Callithrix jacchus: one gene and its partners. The protein of the gene in region 3 binds, or shares a complex with, the protein of the main gene of each other region. Links are inferred from orthologs where the notes say so. Each region holds a gene or a part of one and is shown on either strand. Other genes may lie near its edges.

Evidence for each region.
Region 1: the proteins of ARMC8 (region 3) and GID8 are in contact, whole or in part, in a cryo-EM structure (PDB 7NSC), measured with the Homo sapiens proteins. The link is inferred for Callithrix jacchus from reciprocal best matches to the Homo sapiens genes ARMC8 and GID8. Residues at the interface, in NP_001350870.1 of Homo sapiens: Asn45, Val47, Ile48, Gly49, Asn50, Val85, Ser89, Met92, Arg127, Arg130, Arg161, Tyr162, Tyr166, Leu200, Ser201, Tyr202; in NP_060366.1 of Homo sapiens: Ile83, Ala84, Asn87, His90, Pro91, Glu92, Leu94, Asp95, Thr96, Tyr101, Tyr183, Glu184, Asn185.
Region 2: the proteins of ARMC8 (region 3) and GID4 are in contact, whole or in part, in a cryo-EM structure (PDB 7NSC), measured with the Homo sapiens proteins. The link is inferred for Callithrix jacchus from reciprocal best matches to the Homo sapiens genes ARMC8 and GID4. Residues at the interface, in NP_001350870.1 of Homo sapiens: Glu309, Pro310, Asp311, Val312, Asn371, Glu373, Arg406, His409, Arg413, Ser414, Val415, Gln416, Arg419, Thr420, Gln423, Asp424, Val444, Ser448, Cys451, Asn452, Leu455, Phe457, Ala483, Val486, Asn487, Trp490, Met493, Asn494, Phe497, Gln498; in NP_076957.3 of Homo sapiens: Leu104, Ile105, Pro106, Pro107, Pro108, Pro109, Ile110, Gln114, Pro115, Gly116, Val117, Ala118, Thr119, Gly125, Gln146, His147, Tyr154, Cys156, Tyr158, Phe174, Glu176, Phe239, Val241, Pro242, His244, His292, Ser293, Ala294, Pro295, Ile296.

The regions. Positions count from the first base shown.
Region 1 is NC_133506.1:58,465,765-58,469,509, forward strand, and holds the start of GID8 (glucose-induced degradation protein 8 homolog), read left to right. Parts: upstream 1-1,192; 5' UTR 1,193-1,400; intron 1,401-3,745. UniProt on the Homo sapiens protein: Core component of the CTLH E3 ubiquitin-protein ligase complex that selectively accepts ubiquitin from UBE2H and mediates ubiquitination and subsequent proteasomal degradation of the transcription factor HBP1.
Region 2 is NC_133506.1:69,115,457-69,119,201, forward strand, and holds the start of GID4 (glucose-induced degradation protein 4 homolog), read right to left. Parts: upstream 2,531-3,745; 5' UTR 2,459-2,530; coding exon 2,021-2,458; intron 1-2,020. Other genes in the region: ATPAF2 (ATP synthase mitochondrial F1 complex assembly factor 2), read left to right, coding at 2,924-3,056.
Region 3 is NC_133518.1:46,106,200-46,109,844, reverse strand, and holds part of ARMC8 (armadillo repeat-containing protein 8), read left to right. Parts: intron 1-525; coding exon 526-668; intron 669-773; coding exon 774-871; intron 872-3,645. UniProt on the Homo sapiens protein: Component of the CTLH E3 ubiquitin-protein ligase complex that selectively accepts ubiquitin from UBE2H and mediates ubiquitination and subsequent proteasomal degradation of the transcription factor HBP1.

The DNA of each region.
Region 1 (3,745 bases), on a different chromosome or scaffold from region 3:
CACTGCACTCCAGCCTGGGCGACAAAGTGAGACTCTTGTCTATAAATAAATAAAATAAAGATCAAGAACTGTTTCCGTAGGGTTAAGCAGTTGCAAATGACGTAATTACCGACATGTACTGCCTCTGCGTTATCAAGCAAAATTCTGTCAAGACCTTAGACCTGTCGATTGAGCTCTTTCGATTGAGCTCTTTCGATTAACGGAAAATGTCCAAAACCGGTCGTCTTTTTCCAGCCTCTTTGCCGAACGGGACTGACTGAGGCCGAGCAGCCCGACCGGCGTGCCTTACGCGTTACTCAGGTCACCCGCCAGCAACCGCGCGAAACCCGTCACCCCGACCGCGCTTCAGAGGCGTTCCCTGGACGCCTCAGATGAAACCGGCGGCCGCCCCTCAAGGACTCTTTCTTCCTCCGGCTCCATCAAATACTCTAAGTTACTTCCCAGCCGCGGAAACAGGGGACCCCGCAATGCCGGAGCGTGCGTTCCTCCCGAGCGGACGGCAACAAGCAAGAAAACGCTCACACACCCAAGTGCGGCCTCACTGAGCCCCCCGGCCCTGCCCGCGCCGCCGCTGGGACTCCGCCCCGCAAGCCAGCGGGGTCTCCTTTGTCCCGCGCGCCCGGGCCGCGTCCGGCCCCTACAGCGCGACCTCAGGGAGGGCAGCGACCTCCGGATTCCCCACCTGGCCTCGAGTGAGGACGCGCTCAGTAACATCTCGGATAAAGCCAAGGAATCACTTCCGCGAGCAGAGACCACGGCTCCCGCCCGGCCAGGCCTCGGGTCCGCGGCCTCTCCCGGGGCCTCAGGGACACCAGTCCTGGCAGGCCGCCGGTCGGGAGGGGACTTCCTCCACGTCTCTGGGGCGACCGCGGATACCCGACGCCCTTCCTCCGCCCCACCCCGTCCGGCCTCACGCAAACGACAGGAAAAGAGCTGAGACCTTCGCCTTTGACTCAGTGCAGACGTCGCCATCCTTGCTCCAGGTTTCCACACTCCAACGCCTCCGCAGCAGCCATCTTACCCAAAGGCGGCCGACGCCTTTTGACTCTCGCGCCAACCCGTAGCGCGAGGTTGCCGCGAAGAGAGTTGTGCGCAAGGACGGAAGCTGAGCTCCCGCTCTTCCGGGAGGCTGTCGGTCCCGCCCCTTCGTGGGGGCGCTCCATTGGTCGTCTGCTCGCGCTCTCGCGCTCTCGTGCTGTCGCGAGAGGTGCTGAGGGGCGGCCGCCGGTGCCCCTTCCCTCCGCTCCCCGCCCCCGCCCCCGCCTCCGCCGCGGCCCCCGCCTCCGCCTCCTTCTACTCAGGCGCCCCGGCTGCCGCCGCTCCTCCCCGGCCCAGGAGCGGTTGCGGAGCCGCCGCCGCCGCTGCCCAGACCGCGCAGCGCGGGAGACAGGATTCGCACGGTAAGATGGCGGCGGCGGGCCCGGGCGTCCGGGCCGAGCGTCTCCCGGAGCCGGGGCAGGCGGGACGCGGCCGGGGTGCGCGCGGCCTCCGCTCTAGCGGCCTTCGGTGCGCTGGCGCGAGCTGGTGCAGAGTTGAGGGCAGTCAGGGATCAGCCTCCAGGCGCGCGGCCCCAGGCGCTGGCGTTCAGGGGCGGTCGCTGTCTCTGTGGAGCGGCGTCTGTAACGTGGTTTTTAAACAAAATCTGCCGGTTGAAAGCAGAAGCCGAGCGGGTGAGGATGTAAAGCGTGGCGTGGAAAGCAGGAGTCTTCGGCACCCAGGGTGTCTCCTCCTGCTGAATCTTTTTATGCGGAGTTTGAGACTACCGAGTTCTTCCCGCAAACCGGACGGGCCAGTTCTCCAAAGTTGTTGCTTTTCATGGACGCACGTAACTGCCCGGGAGTGGAAGCGCACTGAGTCCCGATCCCCGAATGGGCCAAGGGAAAAGGTGCCTTTCCTAGGGAGCTCATAATGTGGGACCTAGGGCCGGGGCCGGGCGCGGTGGCGGAGGTCGAAGTGGGCGGGTCACTTGAGCCCGCGAGTTCGAGACCAGCCTGGGCAACATCGAGACCCCGGTCTCTGCCAAAAACAAAATAATTAGCCAGGCGTGGTGGTGCGCACCTGTAGCCCCAGCTACTGAGGAGGCTGAGGTGAGAGGATCGTGAGCCCAGGAGGTCGAGGCTACAGTGAGCCAAGATCGCGCCACTGCCCTCCAGCCTGGGCAACAAAGCAATATCCTGACTTTAAATGGTCCTTAAGTTACCTTTGATTGTCATGGATAAAAATTTGGTCTCAGTGAGTTTTGCAGTTGACTAAGTGCAGGAGGTGGGTGTTGGTGCGTGACGGCAGATCCTGGTCACTCCACCTTACCTGCTTCTCCACAGCAACTTTTCTTCTGCTGGTGCCATTTCCTCTGCTTGACCTTCAAGGCTGGCATCCTCTAAGTAATGACGATTCTCATTCCCTAGGTACGCTCTCCCTGGGTGGTCTTTGCTGAATTCTTAGCTTTAAATATCCCCGTCCCCCGCCCTATTTTCCTAATTAATGTTTCCAGCACTGAGCTCAGGATCTGGAATCCAGACACCTGCTTGATTTCTCCAGCTGCATATCTGTCTAATAGTCACCTCAAACTTGCCCTGCTTCTCAAACCTGTTCTTCTCCCAGTCCTTCCTCCTTATTTGTGGCCCCATCTTCCAAGGCCTCTCATGCTTGAAACCTGTGACCATCTTCAGTTCTTCCCTTTCTTTTGTCCCGTCATCTTCTGTCCAGCAGCAGCCACTGATTCCATGACCAAAGCGTCCTGATCTTACCTGTCTCTCCGTCTCTTCTCCATGTCCTCTCTCACTTGAGTGTCTCCTTAATGGACTTGCTGGTCCGTTCTCACCACCCTGCATTCATCCTTTTTTCAGCCAGGAGACCAAAATCATCTTTTAGTTATTTAATTTACTGAAGCACTTTAGCAGTCCTTTGTATAAAGTAGCATCTGTAACACATATATCAGTGACAAAAGATGAAGACAGAGTGGACAGTGGTGTGACCACTGCCCATCTCAGGTACCCAGCCATTCTCCCAAAGCTGGAACAGCTGCCTCTTGGGCTTTAGACATCTGCCCCTCCCACAGGTAACCCCTCCTGAGTGTCAGCTTTCATGCCCCTATTTTAAGAAACAAAATAGTTTGGCCACATATTTGTTGCTAAAGCATGCATCATGTATTTTATCTTGTTCCTTATAAAATACGCCACATTTGGCCTCTCCTGCAACTTGCTTTTTTCATTCAGCATTGTTGTATGACAGTCATCTTTGTGACTTTGTGTGACATTATCTGCTTTATGAAATTCTCTTGTGTGAGTACATGACCACAGAACTTTCTCAGCAATGCTAAAGTCTAAACATCTCTGACACCAAAGTTTATGGTTTCGTTTGGCCCAAACCTCAGCAGAAAGTTTAATAGCCCTGCTGCTTCGTGTGGATACTCACACATTTCACTAAAGAAGTAGATTCTAATGGTGGGGAACTCCCCCAAACCCCACGGAGGCTGTTCCATGGTGAATGGCACCAAATATCACTGTACATTGAAGTATTCCAAATTCAAAACACATCTGCCCAAGGGTTTTAACATGCAGTGTGGTTCTGTGCAGGTGGGTGGCTTCCACACTTCTGCCAATTTGAACAGTGCTGCCGGGAACAGGGTTTTCTGTGTTTGCTGCGTTCTGGTGAGTTTTTCTAGAATATAAATGTACTAAAAGAAGAATTGCTGGGTTGTAAGGAGCACACATGTTCAGCATTACAATGGATGCCAGATTATTTT
Region 2 (3,745 bases), on a different chromosome or scaffold from region 3:
GGAAGGAGGGAGGGAGGAAGGAAGGAAGGAGAGTTGTAAAAGGCAGAAGTATTTTGTGTCTAAGAAGGCTGTATCTGAGAAACTAGTCCTGACTGAAAAACCAGCTGATGGGGCAATTCACATACCACTAAGTAGTCGTGATGATGACCAAGCAGCTCCCCAATCCAGATGTAGGGCAGCATTCCTTGGCATGACCACCATCCCCACCAGCAGACTTCCTACTCAAGTGGCTCCCAGCCATCTGCCAGGTTTCTGCTCTGAGCTGCCTGAGACCTATCAGCCCTGTCCCAACTCAATCACCGCTTCCACTGGTTCACGATTCTCCTTCTGACAGGAGCTCAGAAGTGACACCCAAATGACAGAAGGGAGCAGTAGTTGCTGCAGTTGTCAAAGCAGACTCCCCTTTGACACCTGGCTACCCTGCCAATTATCCCCTACTACATGAGAAACCATCAAACTCAACAATGGGGACAAATCCAACACCATCCCAAACATGACCCACCCTGGGTTCTCACCTCCAGAATTCTGATTAGGTGCAAAACAAACCGAAATGATGTTCACATTTTAAGAAAACAAGAAGAGGATCACCACATTAGGCATATAGTTATGAAGACAAAAATATTTCAACCACAATAGTTTTTCCATTATAATAAAGATTGTGGTTCATGTTAGAACTTTACAGACCAAAGATAAAATTAACATGATGATGCTGTTTCAAGTAAGCAGAGAAAACTATTTACTCCCACACAGCAGTATGAGAATGAAAGAGTGATGCCTGCTCTGCAGATAGCAGAAAGAAAAGGCACCCTCATTGTCTTTTGAATGGGATACCTACTCTTCAGAAGTAAAACTAAGATTTAGAGTTTTAACCCGTCAAAAGGCAAGCTTGAGGAACAGATACACTGTACATTTCACCCTCACACCCGGGGGGCAGTATTTCAGCTGGCAAAAAGTGTCAGGCCTGAGAGGAGTGAGGTGTGGGAAAGGCCCACACAGGTGAAGCTGTACTTCCAAGGCTGATCAGGAACTGGCAGCAGGTATTCAGGAATCCAGGTCAAATGCAGGGAGGCTGCTGGACATGAACTAAAACTGGGTGAGTTAGATTTCCCAGTACATGGGTCTCAGACACTGGGAGGAAGCCCTGTGCCTGTGTAGAGAAAAGTTAAGAACAGCAAACAGGGTCCCCTGGAACCAGGATCGAGCAAGACGAAGATATGGGGTGGGGAATCTGGACAGATGCCAGGAAGATTAGAAGACTGCAAGTGGTCCCAGAGCAGGGGCAGGAGGCTGGGAGGTGGAGCAGCTGGAAGGGGCTGGGTGCCTGGAGCATGAAGAGAGGGAAGCAGCGAGTGGAACAGGGGACCCAGGAGGCAAGATCCCAGCAGACTGTGAGCAGCACTCAGGGAGTGAGTGTCTGGTCTTGAGGTGGGGCCAGGGCCTGACCAATCAGTGGTGCGTTTGGTGTTCCCCCGTCTGAGGGGTCTGATGAAGCCCTCCTAAGGAGATCTCAGGAAGAGGAAGCCCCCAGGGTCTGCGGATTCCTGGGACTGAGGAAGAGGCGGGAGGGCAGGACTCAGTTCTGAATCTGACATGGGCCCAGACACGGGGAGTGTCCAGAGTCTGGTGAAACCAATGGAGAGTTCTTCAGGGTCTGAAAAGGGCTCGTGGCAGTCCCTGATGTAGGGACGGCAGGTCATGAGGAGGGAGGACCCGGGCCTTCCCCGAGTCATGGGGGCTTCCGGATCCCGGACCGGCCGGTCACCGGCTTCAAGTCTGGGAGAGTGTTCGGGGTCCGCCAGAAGCGGGTCTTGACGGGCTCTGGATCTGAGGGGGCAGGTCAGGGCTGGGGCTCGGAGAGTGTGAGGCACAGGCTGGGCAGGTCCCGGGTGGGAAGCGCCGGGTGCAGGAGGCCCCGGCGACGAGGGCCTGCTCCGCGGCTGCCGGCTCGAGGAGCCGAGACGGGCACGGCCCGTGAGCGCCGCGAGGAGGCCCTCGGGCCCCGGCCCGGCCCGGCGCTCACCTGCAGCACCACCTCTACGTCGTACGAGTTCCCCTTGCTCTTCTGGTGGCCGCGGAACTTGGAGCCGCTGTAGAGCAGGCTGGTGGCCACGCCGGGCTGCTGGGTGTTGATGGGCGGCGGCGGGATGAGTGAGGCCGCGGAGGCAGCCGAGGCACCGGCTGGCGGGGGACACTCGGTGCGGACCGGCATCGCGGGGTCCCCCGGAGCCAGGGCTGGGGGGAGTGGGAGAGGAACCGCCGCCGCCGCGCGGGAGCCAAGGAGGGTGGCTGGGAGGGAGAGGCCGAGGCGCGCACGCGCAGGGTGGGGGCGGGAGGGGCGACCACCCGTCCGCTGTATGCAAACTAAGCGCTTCGGCCGCCACCGCGACCCAGGGACCTGAGAGCAGGGCCTCCCAGTCCTGAGCTGGGTCCCCCTCCCGACTTGCCCTCGCGCACACATACACACACACAGACACACACACACACACACAGACACACACACACACGCACGCGCGCGCACGCACAAACACACACCCCGCCCCTTCCGATTGGCTCGGGCGAGCCGGTGAGGGCGGGAACAGGTTTACACGGCGCTTCCACCCATTGGCGGGAGGAGAAAGCACGTGGTGGGGTGCGCGAGCGGCCCGCTGGGACTTGTGGTCTTCTCGCTGAGGCGCGGCGTGGAGGGGGCGGAGCGAGGCGCGTTTGTGATGCTAATTGACTGGGGGTGTGCGCAGGAGGCGTGCGGCGGCGACGGCACGCCGTTGGTGTCATGTGGAAGATGGCGGCATCCAGGGGAGGCTGCGGGCTCTGAGGGGGCGGTGAGAGGTTTCCGTACAGCCCGATCGTGCGGCTTTGGAGGTCCCTTCGCTCCGTTTCCTGCTCTAGGTTTCACGCTGCGCATCCTCCCAGACTATCGGGCGCGATGTGGAGGAGCTGTCACCGGCTGCGGGACGGGGGACGCCGCCTCCTGAATCGGCCTGCGGGTGGCCCCAGCGCTTCTAAGAGTCCGGGGCTAACCATCCTGTCTCCAGCCCGGGCTTACGCCCCGCCGACAGGTGAGGCCATGAAGGGCCGAGCTGGGGGTAAGGTGGAATTCGGACTTCTGCTGTGCAGGGCGGTGTGACTGAGGCAGGGTTCAGGCTCATGAGGTTATGCAGGCCAGTCGGGTCCTTTTACAGACGAGAAAGAGAAGCCCAAACAAAGGCAGACGACCCGAGGGGGAACAGCGCGTCCTGCACGAGACATTAATTGATATTTGGCCTGGGCAGCTTTTCTCAAAGCTTATGGCTGCCCTCTCTTTAATGAGGAAAGCAAGTGTCATCTTTGTTTTCCAAAGGGGAGGTTTGGGCCCTGAATCAGAACTTCGCCTAGGTTACAGAGCAGACTCGGGTTTCTGGAGTCTGACTGCTTTCTATGTCTCCACTGCCCAACATAAGACCTGCACAGAAGGGCCAAGTTCAATCAGTCCTCCATCCCGGGCACTTTAGCTGCAGGTTTCCTGACTTTCCATCCTGTGCAACCCCTGCCATCTGCAGCCTTCTCTCTCTCCTAAATAGAAATTGACACCTCCATCTCTGATTTTGGAATCACCTCCACCTCCAACTCTGATGAAGCTTAGAAGTTGTGGCTCTTTTGTTGCTGATAGTGAGTGGTGTTAGGGTGAGAGGGCAAATGACTCATTTCAGTGAAGGAAGAGCAGTAACACCCTCCCGCCACCATTCAATTACTTTTATTGTGCTGGGGG
Region 3 (3,645 bases):
ATCTCTTCATTTTCCAAATAAGAAAACTGAAGAAAGAAGAAACTCCCTTACCTGAGGAGCTGCACAAGGGCTTTATAGATTCCCTCTAGGCTCTATCTCTACAAACTGCACTTCTGCTCTAGATTCAGAGCAGTAGCATTTCTAGATTTCTAGTTTGAATATAAGATCTGGCAGCACATGGCATTTGATTGAGAGTCTTCATATTTTGGAGACCCAACAGGAAGTGGTAGATGATGTGGACTCTGATGATGCTGTTTCTACAGAGACCACTTGTGGACAACTTTCAGATGTACACTTTTGATAAACCCTGAGAATATGATAGTTCTTTTTTTCAAAACCTCTTCTAGATTTTTTTCCAGATGTTTCTTTCTTTAATTAGCAGATGAGATAAACAAATGACCATTGAATTAATATAAACTCAACCAATCATGTTTTTATTATGTGGACTGCACAGCCTTTTTTGGTCACATTGAGCCTTGATTAAATTTTTTTAGTCTTTTTGTTTATTAAGTTCCTTCTTTTTAGATTGTTGTACTTGCTTCAGCAAGAAACCTCAACCACAGAGCTGAAAACTGAATGTGCAGTGGTGTTGGGAAGTCTTGCTATGGGTACTGAAAACAATGTCAAGTCTCTACTGGACTGCCATATTATCCCTGCCTTATTGCAAGGTATGTAGGGAAGCCATTTTTTGCTCAAGTAAAGATAAGAATCAGTTTACAGTACTTTAAATACTGGTTGAGAGGATTAGTCCTAAATTTAGTTTCTGTTAATAGGACTACTGTCCCCAGACCTGAAGTTTATTGAAGCTTGTCTCCGATGCCTGCGCACCATTTTCACCAGTCCTGTCACTCCAGAGGAGCTACTGTATACAGTGAGTTTTAGATGTATTTGAGATATTAGTTGCATTTCACTAACAGCCTACTCCTAATTTGCTTGGCATCTTTAGACTCATCATAACTATGTTGTATAAAAAAGCCTCAGCTGGGCATGGTGGCTCACACCTGTAATCTCGGTGCTTTGGGAGGCTGAGGTGGGAGCATTGCTCGAGGCCAGGAGTTCAAGACCAACCAGAGTGATGTAACAAGACTCCATCTCTAATGAAAAAAATAAAAATAAAAATAAATTAGCCTGGTGCAATGGTGCATGCCTATAGTCCTAGCTACTCATGAGACTGCAGTGGAAGGATTGCTTGAGTCTAGGAGTTTGAGGTTATAGTAAGCTATGAGGTGCCACTGCACCTCAGCCTGTGTGACAGAGCAAGATCCTGTAACTTAAAACAAAAAAATAATAAAAGTCTCTGCCAGGTGTGGTGGTTCACGCCTGTAATCCTAGGAGTTCGTGAGGTCAAGGCGGATATAGTACCTGAGGCCAGGAGTTAAGACCAGACTGGCCAACACGGTGAAACTCCGTCTCCATTAAAACTACAAAAATTAACTGTACATGGTGGCACATAGCTGCAACCCCAGCTTCTTGGGAGGCTGAGCCATGAAAATCACTTGAACCCAGGAGACAGACATTGCAGTGATTGGAGATCACCACCCCACTCCAGCCTGGGTGACAGTACAGACTCTGACTCTAATAAATAAAGTCTCAAAAACTGTTTGAGTTCTTGCCTCACTATACATGTGAATTTGTGTGTGTGTGTGTGTGTATGTAGGTATGTATGTATATGTGAAAGAATCCTGAGACAAGTTTCTTGACATAGTTCCACAGATGAAATGCCCTCTGGTTTCTGTGTTGTCATTTTTCATTCTTCAAAAAAATGGTGATTGTGATTATCTGAGCCAACATAACAAATTATGTTGTTAAATTGTGCACACAGGAGTCAGAGATCTTACCCAGAATTAGGCTTTTTAAGTATTTCAAGACTAGAAGTAATAAAGAGGCATAGGCAAAGCAAGCATAGAGAAGAGACATGTCACATGGCTCCCTAGCCTGTCCTTTCTACATCAGACACATACTCCGCTGGCCCTTAATGATACATAAGGTGGTCGGTAGATGAGATTTATGGGTTACCTCACATAGGGAGCACCTAAATTATGAAAATTCTTTTATTTTATTTATTTTTGATAGGGAGCTTTGCTCTGTCACCCATGATGGAGTGCAGTGGCTCAGTCTTGACTCACTGAAACCTCTGCCTACCAGGTTCAGGTGATTCTCCTGCCTCAGCCTCCTGGGTAGCTGGGATTACAGGTGCATGCCACCATGCCCGGCTAATTTTTTTTGTATTTTTAGTAGAGACGAGGTTTCACCATGTTGGCCAGCCTGGTCCTGAACCCCTGACCTCATGATCCGCCTGCCTTGGCCTCCCAAACTGCTAGGATTGCAGGTGTGAGCTGCTGCACGTGGCCTAACATCTTTATTTTATACCTCATAGTTTTATGTGAGATTCTTCAGGGAGTCATACCTCATATATCTATAGATTGTTTACTGCAGTGGTTCTCAGATTTGAGGTTGCACTAGAATTACGTGGAGGGCTTGTCAAACAGGGATTGCTAAACCCCACCTCCGGTTTCTGATCCAGTGAGTTTTGGGTGTGGCCTGAGAATTTGCATTTCTAACAAATTTCCAGGTTCTCTCTTTAAGAGTTACTACTTTACTGTAGACATCCTGCTTAAAGCTTTCCATAGAGGACTTAGTAAATATCAGTTTATTTTCCTGTAGTTCATATGGTAATGTTTGCAGAGATTAAGCCAGTCACCTGTCTTATTTACCCTGGAAGTTTCTCACCTACCCTCAATCCCATAATAAGGGGAGAAGTTGATCCTGGCCAACTACTTTAACTCCTCCCACCTCACTCTCTAAACTGATTTTTGTCCTACTAATGGATCATGGTGCACAATTTGGAAAATTCTGGTCTATGCCAACTGTTTTACATGAGAAAAATTGAGACCCAGGGAGGTTAAATTTAGATAGAATATCTAAATTATGAATCATCTCAATTTTGTGCCTCAGATATTTTATACCTCAGAGACAGTGGAGAATTTGTAAAGAGTTGGATTGGGGAATAACTAGCAGCAGTGTTTCAGTGTATTAATTGACTTCTATGAGTTGGGGTGTATAAAAGCCAGCTGTTTGAGCAACTCAGGCTGTAGAATAGAGATGGGGTAGGTAGTCCAGTAAGAAGATGGCAGGATTTCTAGTTTGAAATTGTGTTTATTAGGTGGGTGATTTTGGGTAAATTTTGTATTCAATAATTGTTCTTTGCCTTATTTAATCATCTGTAAACTGTAGATATATAGACACAATTAACAGAAAGGGGGCAGATATGAAAAAATGGGATGGGGGCTATTGTAACTGAGGGAAATTGAGGAATGCAAGAACATTAGAGGAAAAGAAGGAGGTGGAAATAGCTTTAGGAGCCTAATAGAGACTTTTTAATCTACTTCTCTACCTTTTCTATCTTAGCTGCTATGTACTTCACCATTCTTTGCTCAAAGTAGAGTCTGTAGGCCAATGGCATCAGCCTCATTTGGAAGCTGACTCTTAGGATCCTACCCCAGACCTACAGTATCAAAGTACATTAAGAACATCTCCTGGGAATTTGCATGCACATTCCTTCTTGGGAAGCATAGCTCTTGTGATGTCATTGACTGGGAAGCTTGAGCTAAGTCTTCTTTCTTATCTGCGGTTCTAGCCAGATAA